Linked DNA regions of Diceros bicornis minor. The protein of the gene in region 4 interacts with the protein of the main gene of each other region in a biochemical or structural test. Links are inferred from orthologs where the notes say so. Each region holds a gene or a part of one and is shown on either strand. Other genes may lie near its edges.

The links.
Region 1: the proteins of E2F1 (region 4) and RBL1 form a complex in vitro, tested with the Homo sapiens proteins (2 studies listed by BioGRID). The link is inferred for Diceros bicornis minor from reciprocal best matches to the Homo sapiens genes E2F1 and RBL1.
Region 2: the proteins of E2F1 (region 4) and cyclin-dependent kinase inhibitor 2A-like form a complex in vitro, tested with the Homo sapiens proteins (2 studies listed by BioGRID). The link is inferred for Diceros bicornis minor from reciprocal best matches to the Homo sapiens genes E2F1 and CDKN2A.
Region 3: the proteins of E2F1 (region 4) and SP1 form a complex in vitro, tested with the Homo sapiens proteins (4 studies listed by BioGRID and IntAct). The link is inferred for Diceros bicornis minor from reciprocal best matches to the Homo sapiens genes E2F1 and SP1.

The regions. Positions count from the first base shown.
Region 1 is NC_080758.1:22,932,582-22,940,406, forward strand, and holds the start of RBL1 (retinoblastoma-like protein 1), read left to right. Parts: upstream 1-4,824; 5' UTR 4,825-5,074; coding exon 5,075-5,230; intron 5,231-5,428; exon of another isoform or gene 5,429-5,540; coding exon of another isoform or gene 5,541-5,543; exon of another isoform or gene 5,544-5,577; coding exon of another isoform or gene 5,578-5,709; intron 5,710-6,826; coding exon 6,827-6,960; intron 6,961-7,825. UniProt on the Homo sapiens protein: Key regulator of entry into cell division. Directly involved in heterochromatin formation by maintaining overall chromatin structure and, in particular, that of constitutive heterochromatin by stabilizing histone methylation.
Region 2 is NC_080761.1:44,432,251-44,440,178, forward strand, and holds the start of cyclin-dependent kinase inhibitor 2A-like, read right to left. Parts: upstream 3,002-7,928; 5' UTR 2,966-3,001; coding exon 2,840-2,965; intron 1-2,839. UniProt on the Homo sapiens protein: Acts as a negative regulator of the proliferation of normal cells by interacting strongly with CDK4 and CDK6. This inhibits their ability to interact with cyclins D and to phosphorylate the retinoblastoma protein.
Region 3 is NC_080756.1:16,909,876-16,917,334, reverse strand, and holds the start of SP1 (transcription factor Sp1), read left to right. Parts: upstream 1-4,458; 5' UTR 4,459-4,565; coding exon 4,566-4,572; intron 4,573-5,125; exon of another isoform or gene 5,126-5,454; intron 5,455-5,636; coding exon 5,637-5,794; intron 5,795-6,110; coding exon 6,111-7,459. UniProt on the Homo sapiens protein: Transcription factor that can activate or repress transcription in response to physiological and pathological stimuli.
Region 4 is NC_080758.1:26,081,892-26,089,145, reverse strand, and holds the start of E2F1 (transcription factor E2F1), read right to left. Parts: upstream 3,004-7,254; 5' UTR 2,912-3,003; coding exon 2,651-2,911; intron 1-2,650. UniProt on the Homo sapiens protein: Transcription activator that binds DNA cooperatively with DP proteins through the E2 recognition site, 5'-TTTC[CG]CGC-3' found in the promoter region of a number of genes whose products are involved in cell cycle regulation or in DNA replication.

The sequences.
Region 1 (7,825 bases), about 3.1 Mb from region 4:
AAAAATAATCAGAACTTTGTTGCACTTTCTTACATTTATTTTGTAGTTGAGAATTGTTTATATTTTGAATTACATTTGGGAGGGGGTGCACTATAATCTTTTAAGTCTTGGAGCCTCTAAAAGTTTTAATCAAGCTCTGGACACATGCTCTGGGGAACTCTGAAATATTAAACTACAACAAGGAGGCTAATCATAGAGGCTATCACACAATGGGATCAAAATAGAAACAACCTTCACCATGTATCTGGATCCAAAATGAAGGACAGAGTAAATCTATTTCACTTCATGTTCTATTCAAAAAAGCTCAGTTTAGTGTTAAATGGGCATGCCACTGGATAACAAGAAAAAAATTAAAACCAACATGAACCATGATAAAAAGTAGGGAGAGCATACTGATAAAACGGGGGGAAAAAAAAAAGCATGCAGGTAAGGCTGGATCTGATAGATGTGTCCTCCATGCTAAGCTCCCTAAATTTGATTCAGCCGGTAATAGTGAACCCCTGAAGAGTTGTGAGAAAGAAACTGACACGATATAAATCCCGCTTGAGAAAAACTAGAGTAGTAACTAAATATAAGATGGATTGGAAGAGAAAGTAAAAAATGTTGAAAGACAACTAGAAACCTGGTAGAGGAGGAATCCGCAAGATTTAGTGATTAGGTGTAGGGGATGAAGGAGCAGGGGAGTCAGTGATAACAAAGAGGACAGCACGGTGCTTGTTTTTGATGATTATGGCAGTACTGTTTATTGAAAACCAATGATAGTTTAGTTACAATCCAAAAGAAGAAAAAAAAAAAAAAAGAGCACTGCTTAAATCTGCTTTATTTCATAAGAGAAATAAGAGAATTCAAGAATATTTTCCTGGGCCGGCCCTGTGGCTTAGCGGTTAAGTGCACACGCTCCGCTGCTGGCGCCCGGGTTCGCATCCTGGGCGCGCACCGATGCACCGCTTCTCCGGCCATGCTGAGGCCGCGTCCCACGTACAGCAACTAGAAGGATGTGCAACTGACATACAACTATCTACTGGGGCTTTGGGGGAAAAAATAAATGAATAAATAAAATTATTAAAAAAGAATATTTTCCTCTTATCCTGGCCTCATTTCCAAAGCCTGTACTTTCTAATAATTCAATTCCGGACAGTCTGAGAACATGGCAAAAGGAAAAGTCACAGAAGCGAGTGATTGATTGGATGTAAACGGTGACAGATCAGGTGAATCAAAAGATAGGAGATGAAAATGGAAGGCTTTACACAGACAGGATACAACTTACTGAAAATCCAAACTTAGAGCCCAAATTCAGTCCTGAAGAGAAGAAAAAAACCTATAATGTTTCTCAGTTTTTGTTTAGTGGATGACCTTTGAGAGGTGTTTCTTTTGTTCTGGGATCATTTTCAATCCAGCAATGCCCCTCAATTCAAGTCTGGATGATCTGATAGTCACAGCAAAGGAAGAATCAGTATCTTGCACACTGCAAGCATTCAGTAAACATTTGTGGAATGAAGAAATGAAGGGTCTTCAGGACTTAGTATGCATAAAGTGGAAAAAGAATCAGGAGAATCAAATCCAGTAGCAAAGAAGAAATGGGCTATAGTACATATACTGCAACTCACCAAAAACCTAACTACTAAAGAGATGAAAAATAGGGCAATGAGTCTCTGATTTTGTTTGGTTTATAATTCCTGAGAGCTATTTCCTTCTATCTTGGTTTCTTTTCAAGGCCAGAATCACCCTCTGCAGTTCAGATCTGGATAAAAAAGAGATTGATTAGTTATAGCAAAGGAAAAAAACTTGAGGCTTCTCAGCTCTTGTGATCCTATCCAGGCCCAGCTGTGAAAGCTGGGATCCTATGGGGTAGACCTACTTTGATTCCATTTTTCCTCAAAAATTCTGTCATGATGTTTGCATTTGACAGACTCAGCGATATTTCTCAATAGTTATTCCAAATCTTTACCACTCTCAACTCCCTGCTGCATGTTGCTCTATTTTCCACTCAGCAGAGGACCTAGCAGGTCTGTTTAATCTAGATGTAAGGTGATAACCTTCCAGACAGGAGCTATTTAGAGGAAGGACAGGCTCTGGATTTCCAGCTTGGCCACCTTTTCCAGGGCGTGGCTATATCAATGATCTTTTTTTTAACTTCAGTCTCTCTCTGCCTGCTCCTGTTCCTGATTATTCACATGCTTGTGTTTTCCCTATCCTAGAAAATCCTCTTCCCTTTGCCTTGCCTCCACTAAACTTCTTAAAGAGAAGTTTTTACTTCCTACTTCAACTTTCTGATCTTCCTCCCATTAGCCCCTCAGCCTCAGTAATCTGGCTTCCACTCCTACTGTGCTAAAGAAAACTGCTCTGACAAAGGTCACTAAAAACATATGAACGATAATATTGGAGGTCTTGTTTGAATTCCTCATCCTATTTGAGTTCTCTGCAGTGTTGGACTCTATGGAATACTTCTTGCCTGCCCTCAGATACCGCTCCTCGTTTTTATACCTCTCTGGACAGTTTTTTGCACACTCCTCAAATTCTGCCCATCCCTGAAATGTTGGTGTTCCTAAAGGTTCTACCCTTGAGTCTCTTGTCATGCCAACACACTCCCTGAGTGATATGAACCTGCTCACTTGGCTTCAGATACTGCGTGAATATTTCCAAACCCATGTCCAGGCTGTCCCCAGTCCTGGAGCTTTCTCCTAAATAAGCACAGTAGGTTAATTAGAAAACAAGTGAGCTACTACAGGAGGACCTTCATCCATCTCACCTCTACTAACCCTGCCATTTCTTTGCTGACAAGAAAGGAAGTTGAGAGCAGGGATGATAACCCCTGTTATATACCCCTTGGCACTGGAGATAGATCTCCCCCCAACTGCCCATAACCACTCCTCTTTAAATAAACAAAGACTCGTGGGAGGAGAGTCTCTGTGCAGACACTATGCGCCAGCATCCTCTCCAGAGAATAATGAGATGGTCCTGAAGTCAGCTGCAGCGGTAGCTTCTAGAAGGAAACAGAGTTGGAAGTACCACACAGGTGGTTAAGTTTGAGTTTTTTGGGGGGAGTTTGAGTTTTTACTCATTTGAGACCTGACTTGTGGCTGATTCCCAAGTTGCACCCTCTCTATGTGTGGAGAATGCAGAAGATTGGAAAATTGCCAGGAGAGAGGGGCTACCTTCCAGGATCCGACTGCCTCCTCTTAAACTTCCTGCAAGCATCCCAAACATTTCCAGAACTGATCTCATTCTTCTGCTTGTACTCCCATTCCAGTTAACAGCATCACTTTTCACACTCTTGGCCCAGATGGAAACCTATGTTATTGGGGACTCCTCCCTCTTCAGCAGTGACCCCCTCAGTTCTACACCAGGGACCCCCACCTCCAGCCTGGCTCCTTCCTCTGCTGGATGAGCCCCCTACCACTTCCATACTTCTAGTCTCTACTCCATCCAAACCGTCTCACACAGCAGCCAGAGGAACCTGTTCAAAACACACACCAACTCATCACCTCCCTTTGTTAAAACCCCACTGATAATGTCCAGGCTTTTAGTGGGGCGTATGAGGTCCTTGGCAACCTACCTGTCTTCCACTTTCATCTCTGGTGACTCTTTCCTTCATCCAAGCAACAAGGGGCTCTTTGTAATCTTTCAAACACATCATGCTAAGTACTGAGTGACACTAATCTAAACTTTGGAATACAGTCAACATGAAAGGAAGGTCCCTGCTCTCATGCAACTCATTTTAGTAGGAAGAGCCAGTGAATAAACAAATAAGATAATTTCAGATAGTGATAAGGTGCTATGAAGACAACAAAATGGGGATGTTGGGGGGCAGGGGGCAGCTACTCGGGAGACAGCGCTCAGGGATGGCCTGAGAAGGTGACATTTAGTTGAATGATGAGGGGAGCCAGACAAGCAAAGATATGGTGTTGAGTATTTGGAGCTGTTTGATCAGCATGTGAGAAAGGCCTTGAGGCAGGAACCAGCTTGGCAGCTTGGCATTTTCAAGGTTCCGAAACAAAGCCGTGAGGCCGGGCCTTATTATATACCCGGGTGGGACAATGCCCCACGTGAGGTGGGGCCAGATCACACGGGGCCTTCTAGACCATGGAAAGGAGTTTGGATATTATTTTAATGGCAAGAGGAATCTACTGCAGGATTCTGAGTGAAGCAGTGACATGCTCTGATTTACCTTTTAAGAAGAGCACTCTGGCTCTTCCCGGAGAAGAAGTTTTGGTGGAGCAGAAGCGTAAGCTCCAAGGCCAGGCCAGGCCTTCAGGCTTATGCTCAGGCCATGCCTAAGCCTGGAATGACTGTCTACTGGGACGGTTCCCAGGGTCCAGTGGGCTGAGAAAGGGCCTCCTTACTGCAGTTCTCTCAGCCCAGGCCAAGCCTCGTTTAGCGATCAAGGAGAGAAGAGGAGGTGTTCCCTACCATCCCTGCCTCACCAACCCTTCAATCACTCGACAGACCACTCACTGGGCGCTGGAGACAAGGACGAGAGTCCGACGAGGCCCCCCACGGTCAAGGGACGACTTTTTTCTGTTCTCACCTCCATCTCTTAACTCAAGGGGCAAGTCTCAGTCAGACTATGTTTGGCGCAGCAGGGCAGTGACAAACCCAGGCCCATGGGTTGGCGGGGCAAAGGAGGCTTCTCCCTAAGATGAACGAGGCCACCTCGCAACAGGCAGCCCAGGCCTTCCCAGACCAAAAAGCCGCGGACACAAGGGCGGCGCCGCTGCCTTCAAGACAGGAAATGGACTACAACTCCCAGCACACTCTGCGCGCGGACTGCCGATCCCTCCGCTCCACATTTGCCCCGCTGGCTGTGCCCGCCGCTGCCCGCCAAGGCTCAAGCTCAGGTTTTTTTCAGGACCCAAGGTCCATCTTCTTATCACATTTCCGGAGAGGGACGGCAGGGAGCCCTGGAGGACAAGCGGACTTTTTTGAGGAGGAACGCGGATGCAGACTGTGGAAGAGACGTTGCTCTGTAGCTGCCGATTTTCGCGCGCTTTGGCGCGGGTGGTTGTGGGTAGCGCGCCCAGGAGGGAGAAAGGAACCGGGGGCTGTGACTGCGCCGCCCGCAGGGCCTGAGGGGATGTTCGAGGACGAGCCCCACGCCGAGGGGGCGGCGGTGGTCGCCGCGGCCGGGGAGGCGCTGCAGGCCCTGTGCCAGGAGCTGAACCTGGACGAGGGGAGCGCGGCCGAAGCCCTGGACGACTTCACCGCCATCCGGGGCAACTACAGCCTAGAGGTGAGCGGCGCAGGTGGGGCGGCCGGACAGACCCCCGCCAGGCCCCACCCCCGCCCCGCCCCTCCCCACCCCATCCTCTGGGGTGGTGGGAGTTCCCCACCCAGGAGGGTCGCTGCCCTGCCGGGCGCCGAGAAGTGCGAAGCTGGAAGGGCGGGTGCAGATTGATCGATCCTTTTTTTTTTTTTTCTTTTTTTTGAGGCGGGAAACTGAAGTCCGGAAAAGGAGCTGCTTGTCCAATGTCACACGCCCCTCAGGGGTCCCCTAGACTCCAGACCAGACTCCCTCCGCCCCGCCAGGCGCCACAAACGTCATGGTACTCCCCTTAAATCGATTAAAAAAAACAAAGGATGGTAAAAACTAAAATGAATTGTGTGCCGAGACGCCACTGCCAGCGCCACTGCAGCCCTGGAACAGGTTCCCCTTCCACAGATGAGGAGGCTGAGCCCCGAGAGGCGAAGCTGCCTGCCCGAGGACACAGGGTTGGTGGTGGGGCCGGACCGAGGAGTCTGGGCCACTGAACTTCGCCGTCTGCCTCGCTAGGGCGGAGGTGTGCGATGCTCGCGCTGGAGCGCTGCACGCCCCAGCATCTTGATCTGTAGTACTTGGATGCTGTTTCCCAACAATTCCCTAATCAAGCCTTCCAAAAACATTCCGCCTAAGCTGTCCTGCCTCGTTTAATGCCTTGAGCAGACAAGACCTCTCACCACTTTAGGGTGGGAACACTGGGTTTTAGCTTTATTGGTGGCCGCCCTTTTCTACCCACCCCTTTCGGATTGTTGCAAGAAATCTTTTTATCCTTCTAGAGTCTGGCCTTAAAGAGGATCTGCAGAACAGTAAATAGGAGCAGTATTATGTTGTGCTGTGCGATTTGTATCTAATTCTTTGTGTGTGTGTGTGTGTCTAATTCTTAATCCCTAAATTTCACATAGAGTTCAGCGATGAAGTCATCAAGTGATCCTAGCTTGGAGATGTCTCAAGTCTAAAGCAGAGAATTAAGTGTTGAATTCCCAAAAGTCATCTTTTTTGTAGCACTGTAAATCGAGATATCTGCTAAGATAGAGAGCCATACTTACTGTTTTAAAGATTGGAGTAAATCCTCCAATTTTTACCTCACAAAGGTGACACTCTCCTTTATGTTGTGCAAGATAGGTATTAATTTTTTATATGTGACTCCCTTGCCATCTTTCTACTCCGTCCTTTGCTTTCTCTGCCAAACTTAAAAAAGAAACATAAAACTAAAGTGGTAGAAAGGAACATCAGCATCAATTAAGGCCATGACTGGTGTTTTAAAATTGAGAAAGCTAATGCTAAGAAATTTTAAGAGAACTCTTTCAATAATGCTAGATTTGAAGTGTAGGTGAGAGATCTGTCTTTAGATTAATACTGATTTAGCCTGTTACACTTTACTGAGAGGAGTTTTGTACCCGTTACTGCAACTAACTAAGCTTTGTCACCAAGAGCAAATATCTTCACCTCTTTGACCTGTTACATGCAGAATGAAAATTAGACCAGACAATTCTAAGGTCTCTTCTGGTTCCAGAATTTAAGCATTTTAACATAATATATGCATTTTGCTGTTTGTCTTTTGCCTGCCAGGGAGAAGTTATACACTGGTTGGCATGTTCATTGTATGTTGCATGCCGCAAAAGCATTATTCCTACAGTTGGAAAGGGTATCATGGAAGGAAATTGTGTTTCACTTACCAGAATACTACGTTCAGCTAAGTTAAGGTAAAGCACTTTGATTTTTCAAACGTTGTTTTATATAAGTCCTAAATTTAATTTTAGAATTTAATTTCTCTTTATTTTAAATCATTTAACTTCATTTCATTCTAAGTTTTTTATCATATATGCATCCTTTCCCAATTCTCAGCCTTTCTTCCTCAAATTCTGACTTCAGCCAGAGGCCTCTATACTAAATCTTTTTTATCTGTAATTTTTTCATTAATTTTTTTATATCTGGAAATAATTTCAGGCTTTCAGAAAAGCTGCAAAAATAAGAAAAGTTCAAAGAACACCCATATATTCTTGACCAAGATTGACGTATTATTGACGTTTTACCCCATTTGCTTTGTCATTGAGCTTTCTCTGTTCAATATGTATATCTTTTTGGCCTTTTTTTTTTTTTTTTTTTGGTGAGGAAGATCAGCCCTGAGCTAACATCCATGCCAATCCTCCTCATTTTGCTGAGCAAGACTGGCTGTGAGCTAATATCCGTGCCCATCTTTCTCCACTTTATGTGAGATGCCACCACAGCATGGCCTGACAAGCGGTACGTCAGTGCACGCCCAGGATCCGAACCCCGGGCTGCCAGCAGCGGAGCCCAAGCACTTAACCACTACACCACGGGGTCTGCCCCTCTTTTTCTCTTAAGTAATATTTTTCCTCAACCACTTCAAAGTAGCATACGTTGTAGCCCTTTACCCCTAAATACTTCGGTGTGTATTTCCTTAAATAACTACAGTACACTTATCAACTTCAGCAAAGTTAACATTGATACAATAATTTTATCTAATCTGTCATCTCTAATCTAGTTTTATTAGTTGATCCAATAATGTTATTTATAGCATTTTTTTCTTCAAGTACAGTCTCCAGT
Region 2 (7,928 bases), on a different chromosome or scaffold from region 4:
CCAAATTCCTTCCTATGGTAAGCTAAATAATGCCCCCCAAAGATATCTACTTCCTAATACTCAAAAACTATGAATATATTACCTTACATGGCAAAGGGGACTTTGCAGATATGATTAAATTAAGGATTTCGAGAGAGATTAACCTGGATTGTCAGGGTGAGCCCAATGTAATCACAAATCTCCTTATAAGAAGGTCACAGTCAGAGAGAAGATATAAGAATAGAAGCAGAGGTCAGAAAGAAGATGCAGGGGCCATTAGCCAAGGAATGTTGACAGTTACTAAAAGTTGGAAAAGGCAAGGAAATGGATTCTCCCTTAGAACTTCCAAAAGGAATGCAGCCCTATGGATCCATTTTAGACTTCTGACCTCCAGAACTGTAAGGTAATAAATTTATGTTGGTTTAAGCCACTAAATTTGTGGTAATTTGTTACAGCAGAAATAGGAAATTAAGACATTTCTAAAGTTTACACCTTGGAAGTTCATTAAACTGGAGGTGCTCACCTCATTTAGCTGCTCAATTATCTCTGACACAAAGCCATTACCAAAGAGGAATTTTTAAATAGTGTCCACAGCAACCTTGCAATCTAAGCGTTGCATGGTGGGTGGTGGTGGTAGAAAATTCTTTTTTAGGGTAACCATTATTTGGTTATACTAGCTGTACAATAGTGACTGTATAAAGAGAGAGTACTTATTTTTAGTTTCATTCTGTATTAAATACGAATTGCTTAATTTGTTGAAAGCAAGGAATCATAATAAATTATACTATGGCTGTTGATTCTTGTCCTGGAGAAAGTGAAACTGATTTAATTTTCAAAAAGACAGAGAGAAGATGTAAATGAACTAAATTACAGCTACAGAAAGAAAGAAAAACTATTGTACTGCATTAGAACAATGCACTGTTTTAAAAGAAAAACTGGGAAAGTTTTCACACTATTATTAACTACTTATTTACACAAGATTTCTAATCGATTATGGAGTGAGTAATCTTTTGGGAGCTCTACTACAAGTGGCAGAGCTAGTATATACATGTCTAAAACCTGTTCTTGGAAGAGGTCAATCTCCATATCTGTATACAATGCAGGTGAAAATATAATGAAAATTGGATAAAAAAAAATTTATACAATGAAGTCCTTCATCTTGGTCATAAAACTGGTTTTAAAAGTTTTTATTATGTTTTACAGTATTAAAGACTAAGAAATAGCACATTATAAACCATTATGACCTCAATAAAATAATTGAAAAAAAAAAGACTGAAAAGTAACCTAATATTTAAATAATAATAATAGCAGTCCAAAGCAAAAAATTAAATGAATCAATTAAATGAATATTTGTAGTGTGCTTAAATCTATTTGATAAGACATTAAATTTAATTTAATAATTTAAAATAACCTATTAATAAAATAGAATAAAATTCACTAGTAATTTCTATAAACTAAGTACTTTTATATTAAACACAAATTTGGTTAGTGTTCTAAACCAAAATCATGTCCCCTTTTCTCTATGCTCTTATCTTCCCTATTTAAAAAATTGTGAAAACTAATTATCCAACTTCCTTTTTTCTTTTTGTATGTAAACAAATAAAGTCTCTTCTAACATATTCTAGAACTGCAAGGCCAAACTCCCAGTCTCCAAGGTGCTGGCAAAATTTTAGAGATATCAAATTAAGAATCATGTGTGCCTTATTTTTAAAGGACTCATGCCTCACTTCTACCCTCACGCAACCTCTCTAGTCTCAACATCTCTCCACACTTCAAATCTCAAACAATCTCAAGTTTTAAGGCATTTTGGTTTTGTTTTTTATTTCTGTATTTTAAAATGTATGAAATTTATCCTATGTAGCATAGAGTTAGGAAAGGAAGATTCGCTTGTGAAATTTGTGAAGTTCCAAATAGAATTACTTTCCTTTGTCTTGTTATGCTGGAGTTTTTGCAACGTGCATTTGTTTCCTATAAATTTATTTTTCAGAATCAGAAATCACTGTCGACACCAAGAATAAAACTAGGGTGGCGACTGCCAGGAAGAATTCGTTTTTAGTCTGAAATTTAGGAAGCTAGCGAAGGCAAACAACAACCAAGAACACACAATCCCCCTCCCCCCAACACACACACACAAAACTAGGGTAGGGAGGAGAAAAAAGGCATTTCTCAAAAATGAGGAATTGAAAACTCTACCCCAAATATGTTAATCTATATCAAGTAAGCTAAAAATAGCAAAAATAATAGGAGATACCCCCAAAATGGTAATTAAATTGATATCATTTCAGGCTAGGTCACACTAATGTTTTTCTTCATATATATCTGTCTGTAATTCCTAGTTTCACAAGCATATGTTTTCCTTACTCAGTTAAAATAATAAATACAATATGTAGTTGCTTCTGAATAATTCCAATGGACATTTATTCCAACATATACAGTAGTAGATTTCCACTGAAATCTCCCCTCGCAAGAAAGATGGTAGGCTCCATTGAGGACTCTGTGAGTTCGAGCAAAGTAGTCTCAGCAAATCTTAGATTTCTTTAAAATCTTGCGTTTTATTTCAAACGTTCGTACATTTTGTCTGACAAAGAACACATCTCGGTCTATATTAACACAAATAGGCTCTCCCCTCCAAATCTACAGTCCAGTCTAGAGATCTGCACTCCACGTGCCTCCTCATTTCTCCCGTGGCTCCCTGAGCCCCCGAGGCGTCGCCAAGAGGAGGTCTCCGACTCCAAACTCCATCTGAAAACTCTCCAGGAAGTCTCCCCTTTACCGAGAATCGAAGCGCTTACCTGGCTCCGACTCCTTTGCAAACCTCGTCCTCTATAGCCGCCCCCATCCCCTCCTCCCGCCGACTCACCTGAATCGGGCTCCGACCGTGAAGGTTGAGCGCGTTGGGTGGCGCCCCCGCCTCGAGCAGCGCCCGCACCTCCTCGGCCCGACCCCGGGCGGCGGCGGTGGCCAACCTGTCGGCGGAGGACTCCATGCTGCTCCCCAACGCTCGCCCCTCGCTTTCTCCCTCCCTCCCGCCGCCGCCGAGCGCCACCGGCCCGCCCCAGCCTCTCGTGACCAGCCGGCCCCTCCTCTTGCCTCCGCCTTCCGCCGGCCCCCGACTCTGCCCCTCGACTCCCCCTGCGGGAGCGCGTTCAAGTGTTCTCCGAGGAGGCGCCCTGGGCTCGGAACACGCTGCAGATGTCACATCTCCTGAAGTCGCCCCGCGCGGGGCCTCTGCCGTCACCGGTGGGCAGCTCGCCCGGGGGCACCGGCCGGAAGCAATCCGTGCCAGCAGCCCGAAGAAGCGGAGGGGGCAGGGCGCCCGGGGCCCCTCCCCACCTGCCTCTGCCGCGTCCCCGCGCCCCTCCTCCCCGCGCTGCGCTCCCCACTCCAGCACAGGCGCACACGGGGCTCGAGCGAGTTCACTTCATAAGGCGCAGATTCTCCCTCGTTTCCTCCCTCCCCTGTACAAACCCTTGGCATTAGAAAGCTGCACAGGATTCCTAACTGCCATGTTCGAACCAGGGTGTTTGAAGTATAGGCAAAGTATTGCTTCCTCTTTTAATCAGAAGAAACGGCTGAGAGTCGGTATCACGGTATGACTATGAGGCTTCCCTTCTTTTAGAGGACATGCTCCCTTCTCCACCACTCAGCACTTGGCTTTCTCCTGCTGGGTCCACAATGCCAGAAATCCTAATTCAAACGTTCATTTTGGAGAATCTGCCCGCCTGCCAGCCTTTCCCCTGCCTCCCCCACACACACGTGTAAAACGGATGTCGGAGGCGAGAGTCTCCCAGACTTGCGCAATGCCTGGTACTAGTGCCTGGTATAAGGGCTGACCCCCAGAAGATGAGGTCTATTCAACAGGGATGGTGGAGATTTCTGCCTATAAGCAGAGAGGAAAGTGGCAAAGGGGTCATTGGACTGGTAGACTCCATTTGCTTTTTTTTTGAAGTATAACTAACATACATTATATTAGTCTTAGGTGTACAACATAATGATTCGATATTTGTATACACTGCGAAATGATCACCACGATAAGTCTAGTTACCATCTGTTATTATGTAAAATTATAAAATTTTTTTCTTGTGATATGAATTTTAAAGATTCACGTTCTTAGCAACTTTTAAATTTGCAATATTACAATATTATTGACTATAGTCACCACACTGTACATTACATGAGTTATGTATTTTATAACTGGAAATTTGTATCTCTTGGTCTCCTTCACCCGTTTTGTCCAGTCTCAAGCCTCCCACCTCTGTGGAGACCGCCAATCTGTTCTCTGAGTTTTGTATTTTTTTTTTTATACTCCACATATAGGTGAACTCATACAGTATTTGTCTGTCTCTGACTTACTTCACTTAGCACAATACCCTCAAGGTCCATCCAGGTTGTTGCAAATGGCAAGATTTCATTCTTTTTTATGGCTGAGTAGTGTTTCATGTGTATATATCTATATACACCACATCTTCTTTATCCATTCATTGGTGGATGGGCTCTTAGGTTGTTTTCACATCTTGGCTGTTGTAAATAATGTTGCAATGAACATAGGGGTGCATATATCTTTTTGAATTACTGCTTTCATTTTCTTTGGATGAATATCCAGAAGTGGAATTGCTGGATCATATGGTAGTTCTATTTTTAATTTTTTGAGGAACCTCCATACTCTTCCAAAGTGGCTGCACCATTTACATTCCTACCAACAGTGCCTGAGGGTTCCCTTTTCTCCACATCCTCACCAACACTTGTCATTTTTGATAATAGCCATTCTGACAGGTGTGAGGTGGTATCTCCTTGTGGTTGTGATTGTATTTCCCTGATGATTAGTGATGTTTAGCATCTTTTCATGTGCCTATTGGTCATGTGTATGTCTTCTTTAGAAAAATGTCTATTCAAGTTCTCTGGCCATTTTTAAATCAGATTGTGTGATTTTTTTTGTTATAGAGTTATATGAGTTCTTTATATATTTTGGATATTAACCCCTTATTGGATATATGATTTGCAAATATCCTCTGCCATTTAGTAGGTTGCCTTTTTATCTTGTTGATGGTTTCTTTCACTGTGCAGAAGCTTTTTAGTGTGATGTAGTCCCACTTATTTATTTTTGCTTTTGTTGCCATTGCCTTTGGAATCAGATCCAAAAAAAAATTTCCAAGGGTAATGTCAAGGAGCTTACTGCCTATGTTTTCTTCCAGGAGTTTTATAGTTTCTGGTCTTACTTTCAGATAGACTCCATTCTTTTTTTTTTTTTTTTTTTTTTTTTGGCTAGGAAGAGTCGCTCTGAGCTAACATCTGTTGCCAATCTTCTTTTTTTGCTTGAGGAAGATTAGCCCTAAGCTAATGTCTGTGCCAGTCTTCCTCTGTTTTCTATGTGGGTGGCCACCACAGCATGGCTTGACAAGTGGTGTAGGTCTGTGCCTGGGAACTGAACCCAGGCTGCCAAAGCAGAGTGCACTGGACTTAACTAGTACGCCATGGGGCCGGCTCCCTAGACTCCGTTCTTAATAAATAATCCCTCCTAGATCAGAAAAAGTGCTTAGCACTCTAGAGACAGAGTTGCATAGTGATTCAGAGACCAGGCTCACACACTGTCCTGGGGCTGCTCCTCTCCCTCCCCCTACACCTCTCCTTCCTACTGGAAAAATCTTACCATTTTCTTAGTTATAAAATAGGGGGCTGAGTGGTCCCTACTTCATAGGGCTGTTGTGAGTTTTAAATGAATTGATGTACATATAAGCATTTAAAACAGTGCCACACATCCTAAGCTAATACCAGTTAGCTCTTAAATTATCCATTTTGAGGGTTCGCTTGCAACCTTGTTGTGAGGCACAGAGAAGAACATGCTTTTGATAGAATTATCAATAGTATATAAAAGGGAAGCCCAAGAAGACCTGAATCACTGAAAAGATGATAGACACCCTCCACCACCCTCGTATGTAATGAAAAGTTAAACAGAACTAAGAGCATAACAAGTGAAAGAAAATCCAACAAGGTTCTAATTTTTCCCATGGTTATTACTTTTACACTTTTAAAAAAATATAGATTTTTTAAAAAAATTGAATTACTCAGGCTTTGCTGATGCCTTAAGGATATGCTTAATCTGCCTACTAGATAACCCAGCTCTATTTAAAAGTTATGTTTCAATCCCTGGTTAACATCTCTTGAAGACCCAGAATACCTGACTGTACTTTCAATTGCTTTTAAAATGATGCCAATTAAAACAGGTGGGATGTCAAATCTGTTATAAAAATCCACTGTGCATTACTGTGCTATCTATATTTTCCTCCAGGTACCTCTCAATTATTTGGACAACAATGGTATGGAAAATTCAAACTGTGGTAGAGAACATAAAATTCTTTCAATGTAGCTTAAGGTATTGATGGGAGGGAGGGAACAGATTTCCCTTGTAATATGTCTGGCTTTTAGACCAAGATCAAAATTAGTTTCCATCACTAAAATAATGGTTCTTAATCTTGGGGCAGGGTGAGTAGGCCCCTTTGGGAATCTGTTGAAAGCCGTAGACCCTCTCCTCAAAAAATAAAGTATGCAATAATTTTTTTAAAAAAGTGTGTTTCCTTGCACATGCATTTCTGAATATAACTTACAGGGAATTCAGAAATTCGTCTAAAACTCAACTATGGATTCCTATATCAAGAACTCTTTAGGGGCTGGCCTGGTGGCGTAGTGGTTAAGCTTCCACGCTCTGCCCTGGTGGCCTGGGGTTCAGAGGTTCGGATCCCGGGAGCGGACCTACGTACTGCTCATCAAGCCGTGCTGTGACAGCATCCCATATACAAAATAGAGGAAAATGGGCACACATGTTAGCTCATGGCCAATCTCCCTCACCAAAAAAAAAAAAAAAAGAACTGTTTTAACCTTATGCAATATATCAGACTGTTGTTGAAGGACATTGATGGCTGATGGAACCATATAAAAATATCCCTTGGGTGCATTATATGCAGACATGGAGCTTGGCTTCTCCCAAGAACAGGTTTTAGACATGTGTCTACTACTAGCTCTAGCACTTGCAGTAGAGTTTTCAAAAGATTATGGTATCCTTGGGTGTGGCCCCTTTGTTCTGGAAATTGACCCAATACTCCATTAGAAATCTTGCATAAAATGTAGTTAATAATAGTGTGAAAGCTTTCCTAGTTTTTCTCTTAAAGAACCTACCACACTCCCAATTTACCCTTCCATATTATCTCAGACCTAAGGGGCAAAACCTCAGAAGAAATAAAATATGAAGCCCAAGATGCCAGTGCTGGTTATGCCAGTCTCAGCTCTTTTCCGTGTGTAAGATGGAATCATAATATATTTCATGAGTTGATAAAATAAGAAGATGTATGTCAAAGAGCTTTTGTAAATTTTAAAGTTTGTTGGTTATTCTTATTATCACCCCCAAACTTACTTTTCTTCTTCCCTGAGAATGTCATGGCCTTGTTTAGGTTTATGCTGCATTGGCAGAGAAAAAAGATTACCACTTGTTCATTCATTCAACAAGCTCAGAGGCTAAGGGTGGAGCATGGAGTGGGGTAGGTGTTCAAGATATGGTCTCTAGAATTGGATTGCCTGCCTGGATTCAAACCTAGACTTTTCATTTAATCACTCTATAACTTTGAATAAAGTTACTTAATGTATCTGGGCCTCTGTTTTCTCATCTGTATAACTGGAATAACAATAGCACTGGCCTCAAACAGTTGTTGTAGGGATTAAATGAGGTATTACATGTAATGTGTGTAGAAGAGCAAAAAGAAGCAGAGGGTGACAGAAGAAAATGAAAAGGCAACCAAACTCATTCTGGTGGCTTAGGCAAAGGCTCCATCGATGCTGAAAGCTGACCCTAGTCTTGAAGAAAGGTGTAGGAGTATAGAGATGTAAAAGGAGAAAGATGTTCCAGGCAGAGGTGAGAGCACGTGCAAAGGCACAGAAGTTTGGAAACACTGAAAGCAATT
Region 3 (7,459 bases), on a different chromosome or scaffold from region 4:
CCACATACAGCAACTAGGAGGATGTGCAGCTATGACATACAACTATCTACTGGGGACTGGGGCGTTGGGGGGGAAAAAAAAAAAAGTCGTCGTTCTTATCAAAGATAAGAGTTTAAGAGTTTGGTAGACCAGAAGGAGGACAAGATGGGTGAACTGTGGTTCTGGACTTGGGAGACCCAAGAAAGCATGCTTTTGGGGAAAATGTCAACAAGAATGAAGTGAAGGGTAAAAGAGTGCAGTGGACAGAAATGGAAGATGAGCCTGAATAAGTGCAGGGCAGACCAATAAGAGCCTTGACTGCCATGTTGAACGGTACCACTTAGTACATGTGAGGCTTACTATGTTACAGCCAGGCATAATTCGTGTTCTTATGAGTGATTTTGAAGTGAAACAACTCTCAAATGATCCACTTTGCTTTTTAAACACAGTCATTAGGAGTTATTTAAATGACTTCACGAGTATAGACGGACACTGGCATGTGAGGGGTTTGAAAAGCCTTGAAATAAGTTTATTCATTTTTGTTTTTTTGTGTTTAGTCTAAAGAAAATTCATTCAGGTTTTCACAGAGTAATTGGAAAAGATGGATCATGTCCATTTGCTTTCAGGGACTGTCAATAAGCGAGCACATGTTGAGGACATCCCTACTGGCCAGGGTCTGAAGTCTGTCTTGTTCTGGAGAAGCAAAGAGAGAGTATTGTGAAAAGGGTGATGGCTCTTTTTTTTTTTTTTAACAAGACAGAATTTTTTTTTATTATATTTATTTTTTAAAATTATTTTATTTTTTGGTGAGGAAGACTGGCCCTGAAACTAACATCTGTGCCAGTCTTCCTTCTATTTTGTATGTGGGACGCTGCCACAGCATGGCTTGAGTGGTGTGTAGGTCCGCGCCCAGGATCCAAACCCACGAACCCGAGCCGCAGGAGCAGAGTGTACGAGCTTAACCACTACACCACCAGAACAGCCCCTATTTTAGTTTATTTTAAATTTCAGGGGCCGGCCCGGTGGTGCAAGCAGTTAAGTGCGCGCGCTCCGCTGCGGCGGCCCGGGGTTCGCTGGTTCGGATCCCGGGCGCGCACCGATGCACTGCTTGGCAAGCCATGCTGTGGCGGCGTCCCATATAAAGTGGAGGAAGATGGGCACAGATGTTAGCTCAGGGCCGTCTTCCTCAGCAAAAAAAGAGGAGGATTGGCGGATGTTAGCACAGGGCTGATCTCCTCACAAAAAAAAAAAAAAAATTTCAGGTGTATGTCATTATATTTTGATTTCTGTGTAGATTACATCATGTTCACCACCCAAAAACTAATTATAATCCATCACCATACACATGGGCCTAATTACCCCTTTTGCCTGCCTTCCTCCCCTCTTCCCCTCTAGGATGATGGCTCTTGAATTTCTCAGTCTAAATCTAAGCCTTGTTCTCAGTGCCTGGGATAAAATCAAATCCTAGTTCCCATTTCAGGCATGGACTAGCTTAGAACCATGGAAAATACACAAGCTTTGGAAACTAAACAGAAGTCATAATTTAACTGAAGGATCTGAGCCTCAGTTTTCTCATCTGTAAAAGAGGATTACAGTTTCTTAGATTGGGTGAAAGGATTAAGTTAGAAAATATATGTGAAACGTTCAGAGGACTGCTCCACAATCTTAGTCGTCCTGCGTCCCACCACCTCCCCCTCAAGTTTAGATGTGGTCTTTTGCTGAATACACTAACCAGCTGTTAGAATCTCTAGAGCTTGGTTTACAAAGATGAGTAATGCAGTTCATTCCCTCCAGGAAGTTCCTTCCCTTCTGAAAATTTCATCTCTCTAGTCTCTTCCTTTAGTGTTTCTTAAACTCCAATTTAGGCAGTCACTTGAAAGAGCTACTTAAAAAATGCACATTCTCAAGTCCCACCCCAGAAAATCTGATTTATTAGGTCCAAGAGGGGGGTCTAGGAATCCATCTTTTTTTTTTTTTTGGTAAAGATTTTATTTATTTATTTTTCCCCCCAAAGCCCCAGTAGATAGTTGTATGTCATAGCTGCACATCCTTCCAGTTGCTGTATGTGGGACACGGCCCCAGCATGGCCGGAGAAGCGGTGCGCGCCCGGGATCTGAACCCCGGGCTGCCAGCAGCGGAGCGCGTGCACTTAACCACTAAGCCACGGGGCTGGCCCTAGGAATCCACCTTTTTAAAAAGGCAGCCCACGGGGCGGCCGGGTGGCATAAGCGGTTAAGTGCACGCGCTTCGCTGTGGTGGCCCGGGGTTTGCCGGTTTGGATCCTGGGCGCGCACCAACGCACTGCTTGGCAAGCCATGCTGTGGCGGCGTCCCATGTAGAGTAGAGGAAGATGGGCACGGATGTTAGCCCAGGGCCAGTCTTCCTCAGCAAAAATAGAGGAGAATTGGCAGATGTTAGCACAGGGCTGATCTCCTCATAAAAAAAGAAGAAAAAAAAGCAGCCCAGAGGATTCAGATAGAGACTCCCTGACATTATATTTTGAGAAACTTTGATCTAGGGAGAGCTGCTTTCAATTAGAATGTAATGTGATGTTTTATAATAAAACTATACAAGAGGATGATGCCATCTGAGCTGTCCTGAAAGTATTTTTTTTTTCAGGAGCTAGAAGGTAACAATAAAAAAGCATTTTTTATAAACAATTAAAAAAAAACTTTTTTAATTAAGTCCATTTTTATAAATGGTTATACAGGGCATTGCTATATTCACTTAAGAATTTATAGAAGACTTTTTGTGGGACTATTCTGGGTTGGAATTTGGCACTACAACTCATTAGCTTTGTGACCTTGGGCAAGTTACTTCCCAGCCTAAATTTCTTCACTTATAAAATACATAATAGCTCTAGTATTTACTAATATCTTCCTTATGAGGGTGACATAAGGAATGCAAAACGCCTAACTGACTTAGGCACCTAACACAGTAGGCATTCAACAGTCATTTCACCTTATTCAGGCCCTGTCCAAAGCAGCAGAGGCCTCAGTTTTAGGGGAATCCAGACTTAAAAACCTCACAACATATCACGAAGTGCTGAAATTGTAGAAAATGAAGTGACAACATCTAAGATACAAGTACTACAGAGAATGACCTCCTTATGTCATTGCCAAGCCACCCAGGCTGCCTCCACCAAAACTAGGATAAAGGAGAGGCAGAATGGGAGGCCAGAAATTCAGGTGCTTCGGGGAAAAACTCCTTCAACCTTTGTAGCTGCAAAAAGCAGGAATCCTCTCTATCTTGTTTTATGCTTAGAAAAGTGTTTACAATTAAGGGGGAAAAAGTAAGTGGCTTATGGGACCTTGACTCTGGGTGATTCTCCAATGCACTTTAGCCTCAGGAGACAAGCTCTTGAAAAGTCCACCCGCCCTAAGTGAAGTGGTCAGCACCTCTGGGGGAATTCAATAAAATGGCGCTTGCCGGAGTCTCCCAAAGACCTTGCAAATTTGTCAGCTCGGTGTTCACTGGCTGTGTGCGCGCCGTCGCCAGATCTCGTGGCGTCTGCACCCACAGGGCTTACACCCACACTCAGAGGATCTGCCTGCCTGTCCGCCCACCCCGGGGAGGGGTGAGGCCCGAGAGGACTTTTAAGGGCGGTTAAATGAAGACTCAAACGAGCATGGGTGACAAGGCATAAGCGCACGCCGAGTGTCGTGGCCCATACAGTTGTGGAGCTGCAAGGCTCCGCTGACGCGCACCACCTAATCCCTGTAAAGACGTCCCTTGAGAAGGTCCAATATGGCGACGGACTCCTCCTGGCACAGCCCTGTTCCCTCCCCCACGACCGGCGGCTCTAGTAACGCCCATTGGCCAAGTTGGAGGCGGTGCCTGGCTTCTTTCGCCGCCTCATTGGACTGAGTGACTGAGGGAGACGCCAATTCTCCTCTGCCCACTCCACGTTCCCGCCCTCAGAGTTCATTCCGCGTTTAATTGGCCTTTGCTTTACGTCAATTTGCGTCCTATCTTGTCTCTTTTCAGTGTTAATCCAATCATAACTTCCCTGGCTGCCCGCCTGATTTCTGATTGGTTTCGATCAGCTTCCTATCCCGTTGCTGCCTACTTCTTACCTCTCGTCCCACCAGAACTTTGCCCAGGCATGTCCAGGGTTCTGGTTGGTCGTTATTCTGTCATTCCAATCAAAGCTCTTCCTATCCCTACGTCTGAGGCAGCCCGCCTGCCTGTTGACTGGTTTCTTTCCAAGCCTATCATCTGTAGCTTCCGCCCATCCCCACTTCCTTCGTCTTTCATTGGCTTTTAACACTGAGAGGGCGGCCTTTTTGGGCGGACACCAGACACGCAACTTTGTCTTACACGCCTCAGAGAGCAAGCGAGTCTTGCCATTGGGTAATCTGCCCGCCTTTCTTCTGCAAGTCCCTCCTTTCTCCCTCCCTCATTGGGCGGGGCAGCAGTAGTGGGGCGGGGCATAGGCCGGGCTTGTGGCGCGCTGCTCCCTCCTCCTTACCCCCCCCCTCCCTGTCCGGTCCGGGTTCGCTTGCCTCGTCAGCGTCCGCGTTTTTCCCGGCCCCCCCCAACCCCCCCGGACAGGACCCCCTTGAGCTCGTCCCTCAGCTGCCACCATGAGCGGTAAGGATGAGTCCACTCCAAGCTTAGGGGTGGGAGGGGAGTGAGGGGGCGCGCGCGAGGGCCGACCGGGCGGTCCCCGCCGTGAGGGGGGGCGGGCGGGAGGCGGCGGCGGCGGCCTTGGTCCCGCCCGGGGCGGAGGGAAGGGAGGGAGAAGGGCAGTGGCGGGGCCTCCGAGGAGGAGGGGGATGGGCCGCCCGCCCCGGGGGAGGGGGCAGCGTGGCCTCGCCCGCCCCCTGCCCGCCCCGGCCACGGGGGACGGGCCTTACCCCCCACTACTCGGCCGCCCGCCTGAGGCTCCTCCCGCCGGGGGCTGGAGCCGCGGGGGCGGCCCGAGCAGTGCAGGCCCCGCCCGGGCCAACCGCCTCCCTGGTTCGCCCTCTCGTCGCTGCCTGCCCCAAGGCCCTCCCCCCCCCGGTAGGTTTCCCCTCCCCCCCCGTCCCGCCCTTTCCACGCCCCTCACCCCGAAACCGCCCTTTCCCTCTAGGGTCCGCCTTCCTCCATCCGCCCCGAAACCTCCTGATTTCTAACCCCTGGACTCCTTTAGCCCCTCACCAGTGTTCACAAATGCTCCCCCACTCACACTTAGCTCTTCTTTCCCCTTTTCCCCTTCTCTCCTCTTGTTCCTTTTTACACTTGAATTTTCCTCTTTCTCCATCTTTGACCCTAATTTTAGCAAGCTTTCCATCCACCCACATGTTTTTTGCTTTACCTATCCTTCTCCTTTTTTTCCCCAGAATACTTTTTCTTATTTTGGAACTCTTTCAACATGCCCACCGCCCCTCACCTTTCTTATACGGGAAGTACTTTTTCAGTGTTTTCTGAGTTTAGTTTTGTGCAAGGGAGAATTGAGGCCCAGTTTTGGCAGTACCGGGCCTAGTTCAGGTCTTACACGTCTTATAACTGTCCTTTCTCCCCCAATCCATTTTTTTTTTTTTCTTTTTCACACTGGCGCCTTTCACCTTCCTGTTAGTCATTTCTGTTTCATCATAGTCTCCTTTACCCTTCCTCGCTTTACCCTTTTCCTTCCCCCGACTTTAAGTTGTTTGTCTTTTAATTCCTCGTAGATCAAGATCACTCCATGGATGAAATGACAGCCGTGGTGAAGATTGAAAAAGGCGTTGGTGGCAATAATGGGGGCAATGGTAATGGTGGTGGTGCCTTTTCTCAGGCTCGAAGCAGCAGCACAGGCAGTAGCAGCAGCAGTGGAGGAGGAGGAGGGCAGGTAAGTGATGATCAGGATACAGTTGGGGAAGGTGTTGAGAGGATGTAGGTATTCTTAGATGGTTGTCTTCCTTTTCACAGAAAAATTTTTAGGAAGAGGCTGAACCATTTTATAGATAGGGAAGTAAGCCCAGAAAGGCAAGTGACTTGGAGATCCCCAAAGATGAGAATTTTAGCGATATAGATAGGTCAGGTTTTGGTTGTGTTTTTTTGCTCTTTGTTTGCACTGTGTTGCTGCTTATTTGTTGTATACTGCCCTCTGGGCTGGCAGCTGGGTGTCACTAAACTAACTACTTTCTTCTGTATTTTCTGGCCAGGAATCTCAGCCATCCCCTTTGGCTCTGCTGGCAGCAACTTGCAGCAGAATTGAGTCACCCAATGAAAACAGTAACAACTCCCAGGGCCCAAACCAGTCAGGGGGCACAGGTGAGCTTGACCTCACAGCCACACAACTTTCACAGGGTGCCAATGGCTGGCAGATCATCTCTTCCTCCTCTGGGGCTACCCCTACCTCAAAGGAACAGGGTGGCAGCAGTACCAATGGCAGCAATGGCAGCGAGTCTTCCAAGAATCGCACCGTCTCTGGTGGGCAGTATGTTGTGGCTGCCACTTCCAACTTACAGAACCAGCAAGTCCTGACAGGACTACCTGGAGTGATGCCTAATATTCAGTATCAAGTAATCCCACAGTTCCAGACCGTAGATGGGCAACAGCTGCAGTTTGCTGCCACTGGGGCCCAAGTGCAGCAGGATGGTTCTGGTCAAATACAGATCATACCAGGTGCAAACCAACAGATCATCACAAATCGAGGAAGTGGAGGCAACATCATTGCTGCTATGCCAAATCTACTCCAGCAGGCTGTTCCCCTCCAAGGCCTGGCTAATAATGTACTCTCAGGACAGACTCAGTATGTGACCAATGTACCAGTGGCCCTGAATGGGAATATCACTTTGCTACCTGTCAATAGCGTTTCTGCAGCTACTTTGACTCCTAGCTCTCAGGCAGTCACGATCAGCAGCTCTGGGTCCCAGGAGAGCGGCTCACAGCCTGTCACCTCAGGGACTGCCATCAGTTCTGCCAGTTTGGTATCATCACAAGCCAGTTCCAGCTCCTTTTTCACCAATGCCAATAGCTATTCAACAACTACTACCACCAGCAACATGGGAATTATGAACTTTACCACCAGCGGATCAGCAGGGACCAACTCTCAAGGTCAGACACCCCAGAGAGTCAGTGGGCTACAGGGGTCTGATGCTCTGAGCATCCAGCAGAACCAGACATCTGGAGGCTCACTGCAAGCAAGTCAGCAAAAAGAGGGAGAGCAAAACCAGCAGACGCAGCAACAACAACAAATTCTTATCCAGCCTCAGCTAGTTCAAGGGGGACAGGCCCTCCAGGCCCTCCAAGCAGCACCATTGTCAGGGCAGACCTTTACAACTCAAGCTATCTCCCAGGAAACCCTCCAGAACCTCCAGCTTCAGGCTGTTCCAAACTCTGGTCCCATCATCATCCGGACACCAACAGTGGGGCCCAATGGACAGGTTAGTTGGCAGACTCTTCAGCTGCAGAACCTCCAAGTCCAGAACCCACAGGCCCAGACAATCACCTTGGCCCCAATGCAGGGTGTTTCCTTGGGGCAGACCAGCAGCAGCAATACCACGCTTAC
Region 4 (7,254 bases):
AAAAATCTCATGACCCAAAATGCCCATCCACGGGAGGGGGCCACAAAAACCGTGATTCATCCAGCCCCAGGAATACCAGCAGCTGTCAAGGACTGAGGCAGGTCGACGCAGAATCCTCTCAAAGACAAGAAAAATGCTATAGGGAAATGCACTTATATGATCCCTTTTTGGATTAAAAAACTCCTGAAACCTGTTTTCTCTGATTCGGTTTCTGTTATTATAGAATCCATTTCAGGAGGAACCTCCGTATGGGGAGAGGTTCCATGAGGAATTGTTGCCTTCTCTGTAAAGTGTGAACAATGCACTGTCTGAACACGGAAATAAAGGAAAAACTACAATTTTTAAAACTTTGGAAAAGGAAAGCTGTCATAACCACCTTTAAAAAAACACACAAAATAGGCTTAGGAAAAGAAAAGAGAAGGAAGGATGGATGGGGCTGAGATCCTGCCCCCTTCAACTTTCACCTCTTAACTCTTTTTCTACAGTAAATATGTATTATATTTAGTTTGTTTTTTAAAGCCATGACAACAGGGTAGAGGTGGATACGAAGAGCCAGGAGGAATGGCTGAATTGCAGAGCCTCGTATGCAGGAGATGCTCTATGAATGCGCACTGGTGCAGAAGCTGAGCCTGTAGCTTGTTTCAAGGACTGCCCCAAACAAATGCCAGTGCAGAGGGTCGGCGGAGGTCACAGCGCATACAGCCAGCGGCTACTCAAAGGCACAAGAGTTGGGGGTGTTAGAGGGCAAAAGCTGACCCCCCATCCCTGCCCACCAGCAGAAAATGCCCACTAGCCCTTAAGTATTGTGAGGGCACAGGCTCCTTACTTGCCTCTGTGCCTAGTACCTAATGGGCGTGCACTAACTCAACAACTGTTGAATGAATGGACTGCTCAGGCCCAGTGAGGCTGCCCCAACACCACTGGGGGTGGAGCGGAGGGCACGTTTCCTCAGCCCCATCCCTGGAAGTATCTCTGAGCCTGGAGCTCAGCTCCTTGAGGGCAGGACCCACAGTCCTGGGCCTGTATGTACTTGTCAGTCAGCTCAATGGAGGATACTTGTCCAGGTCCCAAGCTGGTACCTGCAGGGACAAGCCACCAGGATATAGGAGACAAGCCAGGTGACCCAATCCTGGGACCCCCTCCTCCTCACTCAGTAGGAGGAAGGGGCCCTGGGCTTCCTTCAATCTGTTAGCATCTCTAGGAGGCAAGGCATCCTAGCACAGCAGTTAACTGCTCGGGAAATTTGGACTGGTCCTACCACTCACTAGCTGAATGACTAGGGAAGGTTCTAAGATTTCTAGGCCTCAGCTTCCCTATCTGTAAAAGGGGAAGGTTGTTGAGAGGGTTAAACAAGTTAATTGGGTAAAGTGCTTGGCACAGAGCCTGACACACAAAACAGTCTCAAAACAATGGTGGCTGCTATTGTTATTAGTATTAGCATCTTGGTGATTCCGGAAGGCAGCACTGGGCATGGAGCCAAGGAGATTGGGGGAGCCTTGCCGGGATGCCTCAGGGACCAGCTGCCACCCAGGCCCCCATCAGCAGTTGGGCAGCTTCCACCTCCTTGCGCTGGGCCCTGCCTCACCCCTCCCACTTGCTCCAAGCCCCCTGCTGAGACCCCTCCTGCTCGCCCCACCTTCACTCACAAGCTGTGCCAGTCAAACTGGTCTCCACACCCTGTCCTGCAGCCCACAAGTCCAAGCATCAGGCCTCCACTCCCTTCTCCCCCACCTCTTCTGGACCCCCCAGATTGAACTGGTCTTAAGCCTCTTGCTGTTCAGGGAGCACTTTATCAAGGCATCTCCCAGGGATGTTTACTCTCTCCTTGCGGTGGGGGGCCTCCTCTCCAGCTCCCAGAGGCCCAGCCTACCCAGTACTTCCACAGGGGCAGAGGGGTCTGCCTGCCTGATTAATGAGGTTCCATAGCAACCAGAGCCTGGGCGGGTGGAGGGTGGCAGATGGAAGGACAGGCAGAGGGAGGGGATCAGCAGCTGGCCCAGCCACCCCGCCCCTGCAGAGAAGGCCTCCCAGCCAGGAGGCCTGTCCCCAGAGGCCCAGGCCTGCACCTGGCAATCTAGCGCTGAGGCAGGAAGGAGGATCTCCTCAATGGCTCTTCAACGGTCTGGCCCCAGGACACCCTCCTTCACCTCCCCAAGCAGCCATGCCCACTACTCAGCTACAAGCTCTGGTCTGAAGCCAGCAGCCCTCAGTTCAAATTCCAGTCCCACCACTTGCAGCCGTGTGACCGGGGCAAGTCACTTGCCCTCTCTGAGCCTCAGTTCAGATGGGTCACCGAGCTCTCAGTATGGTTGTGAGTTTTAGCTGGCTCGAAGTCTGCCAGGCCTGACATGCAGTCTGCGCCAGTTGAATACACGTGGGCCATTATTATCTCTGAGTTTGACCCACGCGAGGCTCCGGTGAGGACGCTGAGGCCCAGAGCACAGAGAAGCAAACAAGGACTGGCCCGAGGTCACCCCGCACCCTGGGGCGGGGCCCGGAGGCTCAGCCCAGGCTCGGCACCGCCCAGGCCGGGCGCCTCAGCCCACCCCTCCCCCGCCCCCGCGGCCTCCGGGCCAAACACCGCGCCCCGCCCGGGTCTGCGCGGGGGGTCGAGGCAGCGCTCTCAGCCCAGAGTCCCTGGTGTCCGTACCGGCGGGCGGCCGAGCGCGGGGCGCGGCGCGCTGGGTGTGGGCCGGGGCGCCTGCGGCGTGGCGAAGAGCAGCAGGTCGGGGTCGCGGGGGCCGGCGGCGGGCGCGGCAGGGCCGGCGGGGGCCGGCGGGGCGCTGGCGTCCTGCGCCGTGGAGATGATGACGATCTGCGAGGAGTCGAGCAGCCGCAGCGCGCCGGCCCCGAGCAGGGCCTCCAGCGCCGGCGCGCATGGGCCGCCCGCGGGGGCCCCGGCCACGGCCATGGCGCTCACGGCCCGCGCGGCCCGGGGGGCAGGCGGCGGCGGCGGCGCGGGCCCATGGCGGCAGGCCGCGGCGAGGGCTCGATCCCGCTCCGGATCCCGCTCCGCCCCCGGCCGCCGCTGCCTGCAAAGTCCCGGCCACTTTTACGCGCCAAATCCTTTTTGCCGCGAAAGAGCCACGAGCCGCCGAGCGCTGCCACCATTGGCCGTCCGGGCCGTGACGGAGGCGACGGCGACGGCGCCCATTGGCTGCAGGGCGCCGGACCGGCGGCGGAGGGCGGGACGGGGCGGCGGCGCGAGGCGGCGCGACCAATCGCGGGACCGGGCGCGCGCAGGCTTTGTCGGGGCGGTGCCAGGCGCGTTAGCACTCCCCGCGCGCAGCCGGGACGGCCCCGGCCCGAGGCGTGGTGGCCCCGCCCCCGGACACACCTCACGCTGCTGATCCTCTGTGGAGACCTTAGGACTGAGCGTCTATTCTGCACATCTCACCATCAGCAGACCCCACGTGACCCCCAGACCCCCCCGACCCACCCCTCCCCCACCTGTAGCCCCAATACCCTCAGCCCAGATCTCTAGAAACTGCCCCTCCTCTTTTCTGGGTTCTCAGGCCCACCTCCAAAGCCCCTGTCACCCAGAGCCCAAGCAGAAGGGGGCTGCTAGGAAATGGGGGTGGGACTTCTGGCCTAATACAGTTTGGGATTTTCCTGCAAGCTCCCTTATAGCTGGAATCCCTTCAATAGCCCATACACAGCTTCTGCTTGAACTCATTCATTCAACAAACGTTTAGACAGCCTGCTCTGTGCCCCATTCTTGACTCCTGGCTCTAAGGAACTCGCAGTTTAGTGAAAAAGGGAGGAGGGGAACAGAGAGGTAACACATGTTTACGATACGATGAGGAATTTCCACCATAAAAGTGACTCCATGTTAGACCTCACCAAGGGAGCAGGTGAGGGTGCTGAGCATGAAAATGCATTTAATCTGGAGGCCCTGGGACCTCTCCATCAGCCATTTCTCATTGTGCAGGTCAGCTGGTTTGACCAATATTGTCCCCTCCTCTGTCAGGCCTTGTGCCAGCACTGAGGGCAGAGATGTGAAATTCATGATTTACACGAATTTGCCTGCCATCTGGTGGGGATGACCCACAAGAAAAAAAGTAGTTAAGACACAAACAAGAATCAAATCACTAGGCCCAGTATGAACATCACTTCCTCCAGGGAGCCCTCCAGAGTCCTCCATTGCCTGATGCTGCCTCTGTTCCAGCACTGACCACACACTGGGTTTCTCCATCTACCTCCCCTACCAGACTGGGGCCTCTTCCCAACACTGGCCTGGCCCAGAGCAGGTACCTAGAAGGGTTAGGAAAGAAACACAGAGGCTGATGCCAGAGGCCACCTAGAATGCCACAAGGAGGCCTTGGTTCTGCAAGAGTAGTCCTTAGGCCCCTGGCTTCAGAATCACCTGGGCACTTGTTAACTCTAGCCCCACCCCAGCCCTGCCAATTTAGAATCTCTAAGTGCCCAGGAATCCACATTTTCACAAGCAGCCCCCGATCCCCATTCCAGGTGATTTTTCTGTGCTTTTCCCATTTGAGAACAAATTGGTATACCCGTATAACCAAAATGTGTGGTGCAGCCTCAAATTACAGCCCCTTGAGGGTATTTCTCAGCTTCAGTTTCCTCATCTGTAAAATGGGCACATTGCCCTGGCCCCTTCCAGGGCTGCCATGAGGATGAAAAGCCTAAGGGATCTGAAAGTGTTTTATAAATTATGAGGTGGTTTAGGAAAGCAGCAGGAGTTTCCTAAGCAGTTTGTGAAATCACTCATTGCAGATCCTAGACTGTGTCTGCACTAGAAGGAACCACAAAGACTACACAAGCTTCTTGCTGCACAGATGGGAAAACTGAGGCCCATTCAGGGGTAGGGACCTGTGAAGCCAGCCAGTGATAGAATGGGGCCTACACTGGATTCCCATTCCTGGGGCCAGCCTGTCCCCCTTCTCCTCCCCGGTTAGAGAAGCTACTATTGGAATGGTAGGTCTCATTTAAAATAATCAAGCCAGGGGGCCGGCTCGGTGGCTCAAGCAGTTAAGTGCACGCACTCGGCTTTGGCGGCCCAGGGTTCGCCAGTTCGGATCCCGGGTGCACACCAGCGCACCGCTTGTCATGCCATGCCATGCCATGGCGGCGTCCCATATAAAGTAGAGGAAGATGGGCACAGATGTTAGCTCAGGGCCAATCTTCCTCAGCAAAAAAAGAGGATGATCGGCATTGGATGTTAGCTCAGGGCTAATCTTCCTCACAAAAAAAAAATAAAATAAAATCAAATAACCAAGCCAGACCCTGACAGAGGGTGAGATAAGCCAGTAACACTCCCTTTCCAGATGGAGATTCCTTCCTCCACACCTTCCCAAAGGGTCTCAATAACAGTAACATTCACTTTTTGTAAAGCACTCTCATACCCAATAGTCACTCAACAAACACTTATTGAGCACGTGCCATGTGCCAAGCACTGTACTGGTTGCTGGAAAAGACAGATATTGTTATTATTGCCCCATTTTATGATGAGGAAACTGAGGCCCAAAGGGCACAAGCTTACCTAGCATATGAAAGGCTATTATTCAGGCTTGGTGAGGCTAAAGCCAGAGGTGTTTCAAAGCCCTGCCTTTCCCCAAAGTATTCAAGTACACAGCCTCCCAGGTAGAAGCCAGTGCTCTCCTTCCCACCATCTCTCCTGTTCTGCTGCAGCAGAAAGGAGCGAAGATCAGAATTCCCAGTGTGAAATCAAGGAAGAGATAAGGGCATTCTGTATCTATTAATACCCACTTGAAAGCAGCAAAGGCCTGAGAGATGGGTTCCCTTGGCCCCAAGCCTGGCAGAGCCTGATAAGGCTGTTCTCAACATCAACAGTTCTCCTCAGGCTGGGAGGCTTCCAGAACATCCACAGTTACTGGGCAGCCACTTCCATTGATAATCTCCTTTCAATCTGATAATCCCATAAGTGAGGCTTGTTTATCCACATGGTGCAGGAGGAAGGAAGTGCAGTTCAAGGTCGCAAAGCAGAACTGAGATGAGAACTTGGCCTGTTTCACTGCAAAACCCGGGAGGGCCTGCCCTTCATACCATGTCATCCTCTGTAAACACCCCAAGAGCTAGGCTCGGGCTGTCAAGATTACAATGTGTGGTTTCCAAAAGGTATTATGGTGGATAATGGCTCAGTTAGCAGGTGCTCACCCCCATCACCACCTCCACCAACTCCTTACTCTAGAGGAGTCCAAAGGGGTGTAAGCTCCTGGGCCCACGATCCTGGGCCTGGAGACATTTTCCCCGCGATTCTTGCCAAGAGGCAGGATAGTGTAGAAGTGATAGCATGGGCTTCTAATTATTTATTTATTTATTTATTTTTCCCCCAAAGCCCCAGTAGATAGTTGCACAACCTTCTAGTTGCCGTATGTGGGACGCGGCCTCAGCATGGCCGGAGAAGCGGTGCGTCTGTGCGCGCCTAGGATGCGAACCCAGGCCGCCAGCAGCGGAGCACGGGCACTTAACCGCTAAGCCACGGGGCCGGCCCTAGCATGGGCTTCTAAATCAGGTGGATGCAAAAGGAACCTTGGTCTGTGTGACCTTGGACGAGTCAATTCACTTGCTCTGAGCCTCACTCATTCAAACCACAGATATTTATTCAGTACCTACTATGTGTCAGCATTATGCTAGGTGCTGGGGAAACAGCTGGAAGCAAAAAAGACCCATTTCTGATACCTGGAGCTCATAGTCCAGTGGGAGAGTCAGAATTATTTCTATGTACCTGCACAATATGCTCATTAATAAGTTTGACAAAAGACACAAATAATTCAAAGTTATTTATTCTACATATACCACCTCCCTAAACATACACTCTTAGCTTGAAAAAAAAAAAAATCTCCAAACAGGAACATCCCATCATTATAACGAGTGCATAATTGGGAGAAATGATTCTGTAGTGACTTAATTTTATTAAGGGGCACAGAGACATCCATTGTTGAGTTCTGGCAGAGGGAGGTGGGGAGTTTTATGTCTGCAGCATCACGTTTGTCTCGAATGATCCCTTGTTGCTACACTGAATTCTCTGTTTGACTGACGGTTTACTGTCCCTGGAGATGCTCTGTCACCGTGCCAGTTCTTTCTGGCTGTGTCTGAACACAGGCCTCTTACTCATCCGAGGCTAACATGGAAGCAAGCCTTGGGAGTCAGGCAGACCCCAGCCATGTGGTTGGCTAGATGACCTTGAGGAAGTGATGCACCCACTTGAAGGGCTTTGCTTACCCCATCCATAGGCCGAGGGGCAAAGGCTCCTTTACAGGATGGGTGTCA